Linked DNA regions of Drosophila melanogaster. The protein of the gene in region 1 interacts with the protein of each later gene in a pairwise test. Each region holds a gene or a part of one and is shown in the gene's direction. Other genes may lie near its edges.

Region 1 (4,453 bases):
ATACATATGTATAACCCTGGATTTGCGCAATAATCAATCATAATGAATGGCCAGGTGGAGGTGGTCAATGGGATACCAAGCCCCCCGCCACCACACAAAATGTCAAATTGGTTGCCCTTAAAGTTTGCTCTAACTCTCACCTTCGTGGCCCCAAAAGATTGAGGAAGTGGAAAGTTTTCTCCTTTCCTTTAAGTTGGCAAAGTTTTACCCAACTCAGATCCTGACGTATGTATTTATTGCCGCTGCCTTTTGTTTTTTCAGCCATTAAAAGGAAAGGTGGGAAAAATTTTCACAAAGTCATAAATGCGTTCAACTTGGCTTAAATCCCCAGCGACTATCTACTGAAAACTGTGAAAAGGATTTTATCCGTAAATTTGTTATATTGGGAACAGTCAAGCTAACCCGCATAGTTTATTTCCTAAGGTTTACTTACGAATCAATATAAAATGTTTTTTGTCTAAGGGTTAATTACCTGGAACAGAGAAAAGAAACAGCAATTAGGCTTAGTAAACAACAATACAGTATGATTGTGACAAATTTCTTTATTCCAAATTCATTTTAAATATAGTTCTCGGGACATCTGGTTTTCGATAAAAGGTCTTAATTTATCCGTGGGTTCCTCCTATTCAGGGTTCACAACGGCGGCATACGAACATGCCAAAAACCATGCCCATCCCAAAGCATATTACATAGGACATGATTGTGTTTACTAAGGAAGGGAATTTGAATATCACAAGATAACGAATGGAATTTACAGAGACTTACGCGGGTATTCTTGGCGATGAGGAAACCAACGATGCCACCAACAACGAATGTTATAAACCGCTGCATATTTTAATGAAACTTGAATTCCCGAGATATTAACGGAAAATTTGTCTTATTTAAGAGCATACAAAACGTACACTTCGTTCTGACTGTCGATGGGAAACTGATTACTTTAATTTGAAGCACATTATTATAATGGAAAAAACCAAGCGTACTTGATTCTATTGTAATTTACCTTCATAATTTTGCTGAAAGAATTTTCTAAAGCGGCTCCTATGTATTCTGCGATATAAGATAACCCACAACGCAGCCAATAATAAAGATTAGAATCCATTCCATTTCCGCCGATAACTTTAATTTTAGGTGTTCGAGCGACCTAAATAGTTCAAAACGAATACGTTATGAGCTGACTTTACTAGAAAAGCCAACTTATTTGATACGGTAATGAATAAGTATTCATGTTTAGCAATGCTTACGAAAATATTGATTACCTTATTGATTAACTTAATGGTCATTGAGAAAATCAATCCCAATTTCCAGTCCCTTTTCTGCCTGCTATGGCACTGAGCTTGCTGCATGCTACATCACTAGCTGTACTGCTTGCAAATCTTCCATTCTCAAGCAATTCTCCAAAAATATAATGAATACGAAAGTTTAAATTTTATTTATTGTTCATTTTAATATATGCAATGTTCCTCATAATTGATTTAAGTTATAATTTTCTTTTTGGGAGCTTAGGCTTAGCACTTTCGGCAGCTCATCATTCCGATAATCACGCCCAAGGCGAAGGATATAACGTGCGTCATTTTGATTTTTTCTTAGGTTTCGAAAGTAAGAAAATGATTTCAAGCGCTTGATACCAAATGTTATCTTCCCAATCAAAATCCAGTCCAGTCGGGATTTTGAATTTCAGGATGGCATAAGATTTCAGGCGAACTTTACCCAAAGATTTCTTGCCTATCCTCAGGTATTCTTGGCCACGACGTATCCCACCAAACAGCCAGCTAGAAATGTAATTACCCAATCTACATCCATTTTATAAAACGAAAGTAGTGGGTTTGGAACTTGTAAAGCCTAAAATAAACTAAAATTGAGTGGTTTGAAAAAGCCTACCACAAATGCAAAGGAGCTCTTACCTTTTTCTAATTATGCTTGCCTATCAAATACCCCACAATACAGCCTACAATAAAAGTGATGAACCACGAGTTATCCATAATTTTCAGCCCTAAAGTATCAGTACTTTTTGTTAGGTCTTTTTGAAAAAATTGTTAATTTAGAATTTTGCACTTTAAAGCGACAATACTATCAATGAAATAGAGACTAAGGAGTTTGATTTTAATTTTAGAAAAATGCATTTTACATAACGTTTTGTTTTTGGCTTTGTTTTTCAGATGTATTAGAAAAAAGGATTGTGACTTTAGCCTAGACATTATAAAGAAGAAGATAGGATGCTTAAAGAAGGATCCATTTTGAAAGGATTGCGGTCGAAGAAAGTACTGGTGTAATCTTAAACCTTAGGCATAATGAGTGTTAGGTTTTATCAAGTAGTTTACGAAATAAACGTCAAATACTTAACTCACATCCAAAGGCAACACAGGCCCCACTGTTCTAAATTTCCCATTCGGCTAACATCATTTTTCTGATTTTTTTTTTGGCGTAAAATTAACACGTTATTAGAGGGACCCTGTGATTGCGCGGACATCTAATCCATAATCCTTTGAAGATGTGCGACAAGCCCGCCTGCCCCCCGCCTCCGCGATGCTGTCCTCCGCCACCGCCTCCCTGTCGCCCGCCGCCCACCTTGTGGCAGAAATTGAACTGCGTTCCGTGCAACCGTTTTGTGTTCTTCATGATCGGGGCGGGCATCGGATTATTCTGGGACCATATGAAGAAGGAGGCCCAGAAGGCGGCCGAGGAGGCCGCGAAATCGCCCAAGGAGAAGGAGAAGGAGGCCAAGGAGCGCGAGAAGAAGCAGAAGGAAAAAGAGAAGGCCGAAAAGGAGAAGGCGGAGAAGGAGAAGAAGGAGAGGGAGAAGAAGGAGAAGGAAAAGAAGGAGAAGGAAAAGAAGGAGAAGGAGGCCAAGGGCAAAGAGAAGGGCAAGGAGGGCAAGTAACGACTATAGACCCCCAAACGGACATGTCAAGGAGCAGGATGTTTTCCCCCAAAATTCTCATCGAATCCATATCGTTTCTAAACTTCAAAATTTTCAAGTGCATTATATGGCATACCTAACGATAACTATTGGTCAGTCCATTGCCGCGTTGATGGAAGGCTTCTTTATTTACTATCTAGTGTCCACCCTTATAATTCCAGATCAAGTAACAAGATCGGATGGGATATTTAACTGGAGAGAGGAAATGCCTTTGCGAAATTTGGATAACCATATCAGGCTTAAAATTATACATCACCCGAAAATTGAAATTTACATTTTGGGTTCGTGATGATTTTGAGATATGATCATGATCTATGTTCTTACCGCTAAGGCTTTCTAATACGTTGATATTCTATTAAAAATTGTACAATGAATACACACCAAATGTATTGCCCTCTGCAAGGACCCAAAATTAGTAAATTTATCTAAAGTTATTCAACAAAAATTTGAGAATATTTGTGGTTGGTCAATCAGACTTTAATTATTATACAAAGCATAAGATTGCAATTTTTAATTGTAATAGGCACTTAGTTATCGGTAAATTCGATGTTCATTTTCATAACTCGTTACTCGTAGTTTCGTTTAAAAGAAAAAGAATTAGAACGCGTTTCTTGATCAAGATCAATAAGGAAGTCGATCAGGTGCTCTGCAAATTTTGTTACAGGACGATTAATGAAATAATCAAATCATGTCACTAAAGTACTATTTACAAACATTTAGCGAACAATTGCTCCCACAGATTTGAATAATGAGCCCATATTAAAAACACAGTAAGTCTTGTACAGCACCAATTTTATAGCATTTTCAACAGAGGAATATATAATAGAGAATAGATCAATCGAATAAACCTGTATTAAATGTGGCAGTTAATTGTTCGATTGACAAATTGCTCTTTAGATAAATTTATCGACTGAGAAATTTCCTCTCCATTCCATTCATCGGCGGACAAACTTATCGAATGGCATTTTGTCTTCCCTGGCTAACGCTGCAAACGGTTGGGTAACTTCATGGGTGATGATGAGTCCAGGTTCAATTAGCTAGTGCCAGGCTTGGATGATTGATATTACCGCCGGGCATGGCAGATCGGTCAGTCCTACTTCTTGGCCTTGCCTTCGTCCTTCTTTTTGCCGCCCGACTTGTCGTCCTTGTTGCGCACGAAGAGCACGCCCAGTCCCACCCCGATGACGAAGAACAGGACGCGGTTGCACGGCGTACAGTTGAGCCTGGCAAGGAGCGACGGCATCGGCCGGCACACCCTGCGGACCTCGGTACGCTTACAACAGGGCATGGCTGCAAAAGCTCGACAGGATTTGCCACAATTTAGACCAAAACTGGAATCGCTGTCTGATGGATGTTAAATTAAAACCAAACACGTTATAAATTTTGTGTACGTCGAAAGTCTGATATACTGATTGTAAAGCCAAATAAACACTGAGCTATGTCAGAGCTGCCGCGTTGACAGGACGTTGAAGTGGCTCGAAGTTTGCCGACTCGACTACTAGATCAAAGACATAATCTTGCGGCTTATGGCTCATT
Region 2 (4,306 bases), on another chromosome or scaffold:
ATGTAATCTTAATGTGCAACTTCAGGTTCTCTAATGCGGAAATGTTTAAGATTTGGTGCTCTGCTGCTAGTAAACGTACAAGAGAGAAGACAATACAATGAATCAATACAATGCAGTAAAAGTAACAAAACAGCGCAATTAACATATAAAAGATAAAACCAAACCTCTCAGACAATACTGGATATATATAAAATCTCAATAGCTCATTCAGTATTTGGTGATAATGAGGACAGATTAAAAAACATTGCAAAAACTTTTTTCACTCGGTCAAAAATTGATCCCGAATATTTGGTTTTACCTTAAAGATATTTTGGTAACAAAATTAAATATAAGGGGCGGTGCCACGCTCACAATTTTTGGTATCGTAAAAGATATGGCCTAGTGTAACCCAATGCAAAAAAAAAGAAATTGAATGTCTTTATCCGTTCTGGGTAAATCTATAATCTCATTGTCAGCATTAAAAATTACTAACACGCGCCGCATTATAATGCAATTCGCCTATGTTCGACGAGCACCTGACTGCCGTTGCCACTTTTACCTTTATCCTTCTTGTTGACTCCTTCGTTGGCAACATTTCTTCCCTTTTAACCGCCTCCAGGAACTGTTTACAATTGCGCACAAGTCGTCAATGGCTGTCCTCGTCCTTGGGCTCCCTCCAATGGCATCTGGATGTTCCAACACGAACTGCTTTCACTTTCCTAGATTTTTTCACAGATTGTGCATTCAACTAAACATCATTACGTTTTTCCAGTTGCCCCACGCAAATAAGCAACTTAAGCTGAAATTTTATGATTGCGGCTTCTTTAAGAACATTTAATTTGTCACAGAAAATTATTGGAAAAACATATTACGTTTTCTTCAATTCTAAACAATTTATGGAAATTTAAAATTTGCGTTATTTTAAAAAGAATTTTATATCGTTCGTCTAAAAATATGCTTCAAATAAAAATCCATTTTTTTAATAAACTGTTTATTTTTATAAATGACTGATCCCAAAAATATGAAATGAAAATAATGTAACATGTAGTGGAGTGGTTTTTTATGAAAACTTTCAATAAGGCTCAGTGCCTATTCATTTTCCCTAGCGGCTATCTCTTTTTCGATGTCATCTAGAACCTGGTCAATAGCATCTTCCTCGGGATCGATCAGTTCATCCTCATTTTCGTTGTCTTCCTCGGATTGGTCATGGCCATCTTCCAACTCTTTCTCTTTATCGAGCTGATCCTCTTCTAGGTCATCAAGCTGGTCCTCTGAAAGATCTGTTTCGTTGTCGTCTTCGTCCTCTTCAGTTTGATCCTCCTGGTGGTATTGATCTTCGCCAGATTCCTCGTCACTCTGGGAAATCTCATGAGAAAACTCTTGGGAAATCTCGTGGGATTCCTCTGCACTGGACTGTGGACCCTCGACAATCTGACCATTGATGGTGGGCATGATGCGATAGTAACCGTTGTTATAGTACGGATACCAATTGTTGTTCCATTGGTTACGTGGTGACGATGGGGTAGTATTTCCCTGGTTGCTGTTGGCAACGGAATTGGACACTCCCGTAATGATCACCGTGTTGTTTCCAAACTTAACCGTCGTATTCCTTTGACCAGCCTCTGCCAGGACGGCCTGCAGCCAACCCAAATTCATCTGGGGAGCTGCATTGCCATAGGCAAGGATACCGGCAAAGATCAGAAGAGCAAATGCTATGGATTGCATGATTATCAAAAGTATACAGGCTGAGTGCAACTGAGACTATGATTTTCAATTAGCTTATCTTTGTTTTTATATCTTTAAAAAGTTGTCCAAATCGATCGATTTATTGTGACATGATTACATTATGCTAACAATCGTCAAGGTTCCATCATGGCCTACGATATATTTAGTTAGAAGTAGTTATTGTTTTTGGCTTACCACAAATACGACACCGAACATGTGAGTAAATATTAAGAAGTTTCGAGTAAGCGGAGCAAAACAAGCTAATGTGCTATGAATCAGAAAATAAGAATATGGAGGGCCATTCCCAAAATTTGTAAACAATTGTAGGTGGAACAGTGGTTATTCTACAAAGAAATAAAAAGGAGTCATTAATTTGATATAGACATTTTCATAAGCAAGTTAACTATGGATTATAACATGCTGTGTTTGCTTTCCTTAGGTTATACAATATATTGTATATAAAAGTATGACGTTAGCCACGTTTCACTGTAATCTTTATACGTTCTCCAAGTTCCGTCAGTCAAATGTTTACGCACGACTTTGCCTCATTTTTTGACGCTCAAACCAAGGCAACAGCTGTCGCGGGGTAAACACAAAACGAACCAAATAAATTGTCACAATGCGCGCTTTTATTTTTCTGCCAATTTAGAGATTTTGCTATAAAAGCGTATTTTCAATGTGGAACTGAACTTAGTTGAAAACTAAATTTGACAATACAATGCGTGCCTATTTGCTGCTTGCCCTGTTTGGATGTGTGCTTTTGGCCACAGTTTCCGCAAATCCGGTGGACATTGACGACTTGGAGGACCTCGAGGAGGACAAACGAATTGCTGATGAGCAGGATAATGCTAACGATGATGAGAAAGACGATGAGGATTCAAATGAACCCGAGTCCGACGACGACTTAGATGAGCCTGAATCCCCGGAGGACGATTCCCAGAACAATGATGATTCCGAAAGCGACGAGAGCATCCAGTACAATCAAGATGAAGAGTAGCTCTAATGGGAATTAACCCTTTCTATTCTTTATTGTCTTTATCTACACGCTTTCACCGGTCGTTAGACGTTTAAACAACTGTTTACACAGAAATACACAGTTCATCTTCAACAACCAAATAAGTAAAGGTTTTTATGTTATTCTAGTAAATACACACATTTCTGGAAACACCCATCATAATTGGTGCTTTTTACTTAACTTCTTTTTATACAGCTCTTAAATGATTTTGTAAAGAATTACATACTAAACAAAATCTTAAAAATGCAATTTTTATTTAATTAATTGGCCTCAAAGCCACTCTTAATACTCTTATTTCAGCGCAGGGAAAAAGAAATAATTTTCTGCCTGTAATGTGTGGCTCAATAGATCAATAAATGTTTTATCTCTCAAATATTTACTTAACATTAGTAAGGTGCAGCCATTGTGCAGTTTGCAATAGAAATTTTAAAGCAAACACGGCATTCATATATAAGAAGTGCAGTACTTTGAAAAAACTTATTCAAAGAAGAACTAAGTCTACGAAATAGAGATGCACTTTCTGATGGTACTCGTGATAATTGCTCTTTTGGCCATGGCCTTTGTGAGTGCAAGCCCACTTCCCCATCCAAGTGGAGAAGTTATCGTTATTGTCAACCCAAAAGCCCCAGTTGACTGGTGCTCTACAACATCAGCGGCTTAAATTCGAAAATACAAAAATATTTAGAAATTCTCCCCCGATGCAATTTCTCAAACACAAAATATGAAATGAGCAACTGATAAATCACCAATAAAGAAAATAAAAATAAAACTTATTCAGGGTAAAACTTTTAAATACGTTTTTTGGTCTTTATAAGTTAAATGAAATCAATAAACGTTTTGAAGTTCGATTTGGAGATATCAGATTTTTTATTTTGCTTTATATTAGCACATATTACCACGACGGAAATGAAAATCCTTTAGGCGAAGTAAATAGTAATGAAGGTAAGAAAATTTGTATCTAATGTTTTAAAAAGGCCAAAAACCATTCACTATCTTTTTAATTCAATGATTGCATGCGAGTGTGTAATAAATATGACAAAATAAAAACAGAGGTCGCTATAGTCAAGTGCCACGACTATTAGATACCTGTTAATCAGAATAGAGGCAAGCACAACGAACCCACTTACTCAAAACAATTCTGGACAATTCCCAGAATAATATCAATTAAGATTGTGCGTCACCACGCAATAATGGGATAAGCATTTGTTCAAATATGAAATTCGTAAATGACTCGTTCAAATAACAAAAAAAGGCATTTAATATAAAAAGCGATTGATCGAGTAAAGTTTCAAATCAGTTTAAAACTTCGCTGAGCACAAGAACACAAAAAAATGCGATTCCTAATTGTCGTTGCTCTTGTGGCCTTTTTGGCTGTTGGTCTTGTGGCTGCACGGCCAGCTGAGGATGAGGAGTCCTCCATCCAGGATAACACCAATGAGGATTCGTCCAGTAATGATGGCGAGGGAAACTCCGATGCTGCCGAGGAAGAACCTGCTGTTGAAGAAAGTCAAGATTCTGGAAATGTGGATAACCAGGATGATGAAAATAGCGAGGATAATCAGGAGGAGTCAGATAATGAATCAAGCG
Region 3 (4,116 bases), on another chromosome or scaffold:
GTGGACTCTTAGAGGTTCCTCCGGGTTCAATGACTTGGCATGGCCACAGCAAGGACACTCCGTCGCCATCCTTGATCCTTGCTCATTGTTAAACCTCGGAGGTGGTATGTAGATGGGCATAATACGGTCTTCTGGTCGAAGAACATAGTACACCGGTGGAGGTTGGTTTATGCTGCGGGAGAAATGACGAAACTGGCTTTGCGAATTCTTCCGCTTGGGTGTCGCATATTCCTCGGGTCGGATTCTTAAATTCCTTCGAGGAGGAGGGACATCCGTTGGAGGTCTTACATTCGGGGCAATGGAGACCGATCGACAAGGTCGCTCTGTCGATGTTCTGGAATTGGGGAACAAGGGTATCGTCTGCACCGAAATGGGCATGGCCTGCATCTGTCCACAGGAACTGGGCTGTTGGGACACCAGCTGGATCATAATGGTGTTCGGTGGACCTGTGCCGCTGGTGACCCTCGACTCCATCGCTATGGGAGATTTATCACGAGCAATTTGTAATCATTAATATCGCAAATAATTAGTTGTGTGACACCTACTGCGATTTAATGTTATATTTTGGAGTTTTATATTTCGATATGTATGGTATACGGTATAGCGGATGGGTTGATTAAAAACCAGGTTAGTAGTGCGGTAGTGCTATCACCAACAGTTAAGGGTAGTATATTAATATAAATATAAATGCGTAATTCTAATGACTTGTTTGCGTTAAGAATGTGGGGTTCCCCACGGTTAAGTATTAGGTATTTGAATAGAAGCCCCCAAATTTAAATTTCGATTATAAACCTTACTGTCCTAGTTTTGTACTATATTTAACTTATTGATAGGAGTGCTACCCAGTTTGGATTGTGGCACGCGGCATGACCTTTACGACACATCCATATAATCAAACTATTGCGTCAACAAAACTTAGGGGCGCGTACAATGCGCTGAGATACAGATACAGATACGGTGGGCGATACAAGGTGCGATTATTTTGAAACGATTTCATGTCGCTGCCAAAATAGAATTTCGCACAGGCTTCCCGCCAACGGAGATAACTGCTATTGATGAAAGCCAATATCAGTGCCGGTCTGGGGTATATAAGCTTGCGAATTCGCCCAGTTAAAGCACACTTACGAAACCAGTGGGAACTCAATTGCACCATGAAGTCCGGTAAGTTAGCTGAGCAAATCGAAAAGGAATCCCCATTTGAAATATACTTCAACCCTTTGCCGATCCCATAGCACTACTTTTGATCTGCCTTGCCTTCTTCGTGGCGCTCCTAAGCACCGGAAATGCGTGCGATCCCAATTCTGACAACCAGCCCGACTGCAGCGACGCATCCAACGTGCAAACGAACATCCGCAACTTCTGGGATCCCACTCGCTACTGGTGGTGTGAGTCCTCCACCTCCACGGCCACGGCTGTGTTGTGCCCGTTGTCCACTGGATTCGACCCCACAAAGAAGGAGTGCGTTTCATGGAGCGAATGGTCTTGGACTGCTTACTGTTGATTGCATTTTTAATAACAACAAAAATGAAAATATATGGCAAACTAAATGATTACATACATTGTTTGGATTTTTAAAATATCTCATGTTCTTGCGAGTATTCGAAGATATGGGAAAATGTTATAGAGCAACCTAGATTGGTATATAGAATATTTTGTTTCTGCTCAGTCGCTTTCTATAGGATGTTGAGTACAGTTGAGTGTTAACGAGTTTCATTATTATTTGTAAATAACATTTTTGAGATGTTTTTGTCCAAATGATATCTTGGAAACCTATAAAGATTAGACAGTACTCGTATTGCTACTAATTTGCATTTAATGCAATAAAATGTTTATGAACGAGAGAAAAGTAAATTATACTTTATCATATAAAGTATAAACAATATACTTTAATTTTACAAACAACTTTATTTTTTAACTAGAGCTTGGTTTCAAAATTTGTTTGTTTATTTCAAAAACACTGTGTCTCAGTGTGTAAAGTTTTACAGGGTATAAATTGTCTAAATAGGAGCCGGTCAATTCAAACAAATCATATGCAAATTTTTTGTTCAATAATATTTTAATATCATAACTAAGTATACTACAACACTTGGTGAAATATACTTCTTTGTTTGAAAACGAATTGTACGACGGCGTCAAATGTTCGAATTGTCGAGATACAGATACCAATCGTGATCATGAGATTATTTTTAAACGATTTCATGTTCTTTAAGAAATAGAATGTATAGCTCCGATTGTCTCAGACAATATGTCAGGGAATAGATAGCAGGTGGCTATAAAATGTCGAACGTTGCGTTCCAATCGCATTCGGTATTAATCACTCGAACAAACCACAATGAAAGCAGGTGAGTTTCATTGATGACCTCACATCGCTGAAACCATTGAGATGCCAATAGCGGAATTCTGTTTCAGCTTTAGTCCTTCTCTTCCTGACCCTCTGCGTTGCCATCTACGCCGACCTTGACTGCAATCCCGATGGCAATGGTGAGCCCGATTGCGTGGGACGCTCCGGAGAGATTTCCCGTGACTTCTGGGATCCAACCCACTACTGGCAGTGCTCTAGCACCGGACAGGCCGAGCTAGTTGCCTGCGAGCAGAACACTGGATTCGATCCGAAAACTGGAAGCTGCGTCGATTGGAGCGTTTGGCAGTGGTATCCTCCATGTTCCGAAGCATCCACTTAAGCAATAAACTTCTCTTGCAGTTTATACGTTTTTCATTAACTTTTTTTGGTTCATTTGTAATGGTATTTAACTGGGAAGATGGGCTTGAATGAAGTCTAGAATATATCTCTAGATTTCTCGGATCTTTATCGAATTTTTAACAGAGTATTTAATGCTTGAAAAGGTTAATGTTCCGGGTGATTATCTCGTTGGGAAGTGTAAAAAAAAGGGTTAGTCCGAGGAGGAATTAAATAATTGATCTCACAGACTATTAGCCCTCGAAATGTACAAGTACGCAACTTGCATTTTCTCCATTTTCGCTTTATGGAACTTTTGGGGCGTCAGTGCCAAAAAGCAGGATACTTCCACAGGAACAAATGAATTGCCAAAAGCACCAATGCCGTATTATACAATCGAGAATATTGATATGCACCAGCAGCACTGGTTTACCTACAATTCGCTAAGACAAAATGGAACTTTGTGGAGAATTGGTAATATGGAGCAACGCTTAGAAATGCGATTGCAGTCCTTTCAAAACCAGATGGAAACTAAACTTCGGGCTCTAAAGCAACAAATTGAACCCTACATGGAAAACGTTAAAATGTCCAACAAAATCAAAATGTCCGTATTCAAGAAGATTGGCTCCCGGCACTTTTACTTAGAAAAGCAAAAGAAGATGCCCTGGGATAGCGCATACGACACGTGTCGTCAAATGGGCGGTCACCTGGCGAATATCCTCGATGAGAAGGAGCTGAATGAAATATTCTCAGAGGAAACCAAAAAAAAGTACTGGGTAGATATCAACAGCCGTGCCAACGATGGAGCGTCCTGGATTTCTACACTATCCGGAAGGGATGTACCATTTCTGAAATGGAAGCCAAATCTGGCCACAAATATACATAACCATTGCGTGTATATCAATTCCAATGAAATGTACTTTGAAAATTGTGCCAATGATAACTATTTTGCTTGCCAAGCCGAGCAATGGGCCTGAATATCGAGCATTGATTTTTAGAACTATTTTAAACTTTAAATGTGACTTTGATAATAAAGGTTTAAAAATTGAACTCCTTTAAACTTTAATATGTATTTTTTTTAAATCATCAAAATTGCAATGTGTCTTTAATAATAAAGCTATTAACTTTAGGCATTTTATATTTTTTTTTTTCAATACACCATAGTAGATTTTCATTTTTTTTAATTTTTCCAGCCTTTTTGCTTTTCACAGTGATGCTTTAAAACGGTTACATTATCATTAAAAAGCGTGACAAAATTAGTTGAGCTCATTGGAAGTTCTTTAGCCAGATTGGATCTCACACGCTTGAAATCTTCCAAACTGGACATGTACGCATCTAACCTCTTATACCTGTTGGCATTATGGAACCTTTGGGATCTCAGTGGTGGGCAGCAGGACATTCCGAACGGAAAGGCTACATTGCCAAGTCCACAAACGCCG

Evidence for each region. Proteins that work in one complex are often made in the same cells at the same time.
Region 2: the proteins of CG46298 (region 1) and CG18649 interact in a two-hybrid assay, tested with the Drosophila melanogaster proteins (one large-scale study listed by BioGRID).
Region 3: the proteins of CG46298 (region 1) and Peritrophin-15b interact in a two-hybrid assay, tested with the Drosophila melanogaster proteins (one large-scale study listed by BioGRID).

Annotation. Positions count from the first base shown.
Region 1 is NT_033778.4:10,351,028-10,355,480, forward strand, and holds CG46298 (uncharacterized protein), read left to right. Parts: upstream 1-2,340; 5' UTR 2,341-2,488; coding exon 2,489-2,878; 3' UTR 2,879-3,009; exon of another isoform or gene 3,010-3,078; 3' UTR 3,079-3,362; downstream 3,363-4,453. Other genes in the region: CG46305 (uncharacterized protein), read right to left, coding at 627-698; CG43172 (uncharacterized protein), read right to left, coding at 707-709, 766-831; CG43200 (uncharacterized protein), read right to left, coding at 1,039-1,104; CG43178 (uncharacterized protein), read right to left, coding at 1,506-1,571; CG43171 (uncharacterized protein), read right to left, coding at 1,729-1,800; CG43201 (uncharacterized protein), read right to left, coding at 1,908-1,979; CG12902 (uncharacterized protein), read right to left, coding at 4,011-4,205.
Region 2 is NT_037436.4:15,052,220-15,056,525, reverse strand, and holds CG18649 (uncharacterized protein), read left to right. Parts: upstream 1-2,390; 5' UTR 2,391-2,422; coding exon 2,423-2,701; 3' UTR 2,702-2,958; downstream 2,959-4,306. Other genes in the region: EAChm (enhancer of acetyltransferase chameau), read right to left, coding at 1,069-1,704; CG43680 (uncharacterized protein), read left to right, coding at 3,231-3,380; CG13461 (uncharacterized protein), read left to right, coding at 4,051-4,306.
Region 3 is NT_033779.5:8,393,098-8,397,213, reverse strand, and holds Peritrophin-15b (Peritrophin-15b), read left to right. Parts: upstream 1-2,273; 5' UTR 2,274-2,332; coding exon 2,333-2,342; exon of another isoform or gene 2,343-2,409; coding exon 2,410-2,681; 3' UTR 2,682-2,768; downstream 2,769-4,116. Other genes in the region: CG13385 (uncharacterized protein), read right to left, coding at 1-474; Peritrophin-15a, read left to right, coding at 1,152-1,161, 1,233-1,501; lectin-29Ca, read left to right, coding at 2,944-3,654; Acp29AB (accessory gland protein 29AB), read left to right, coding at 4,003-4,116.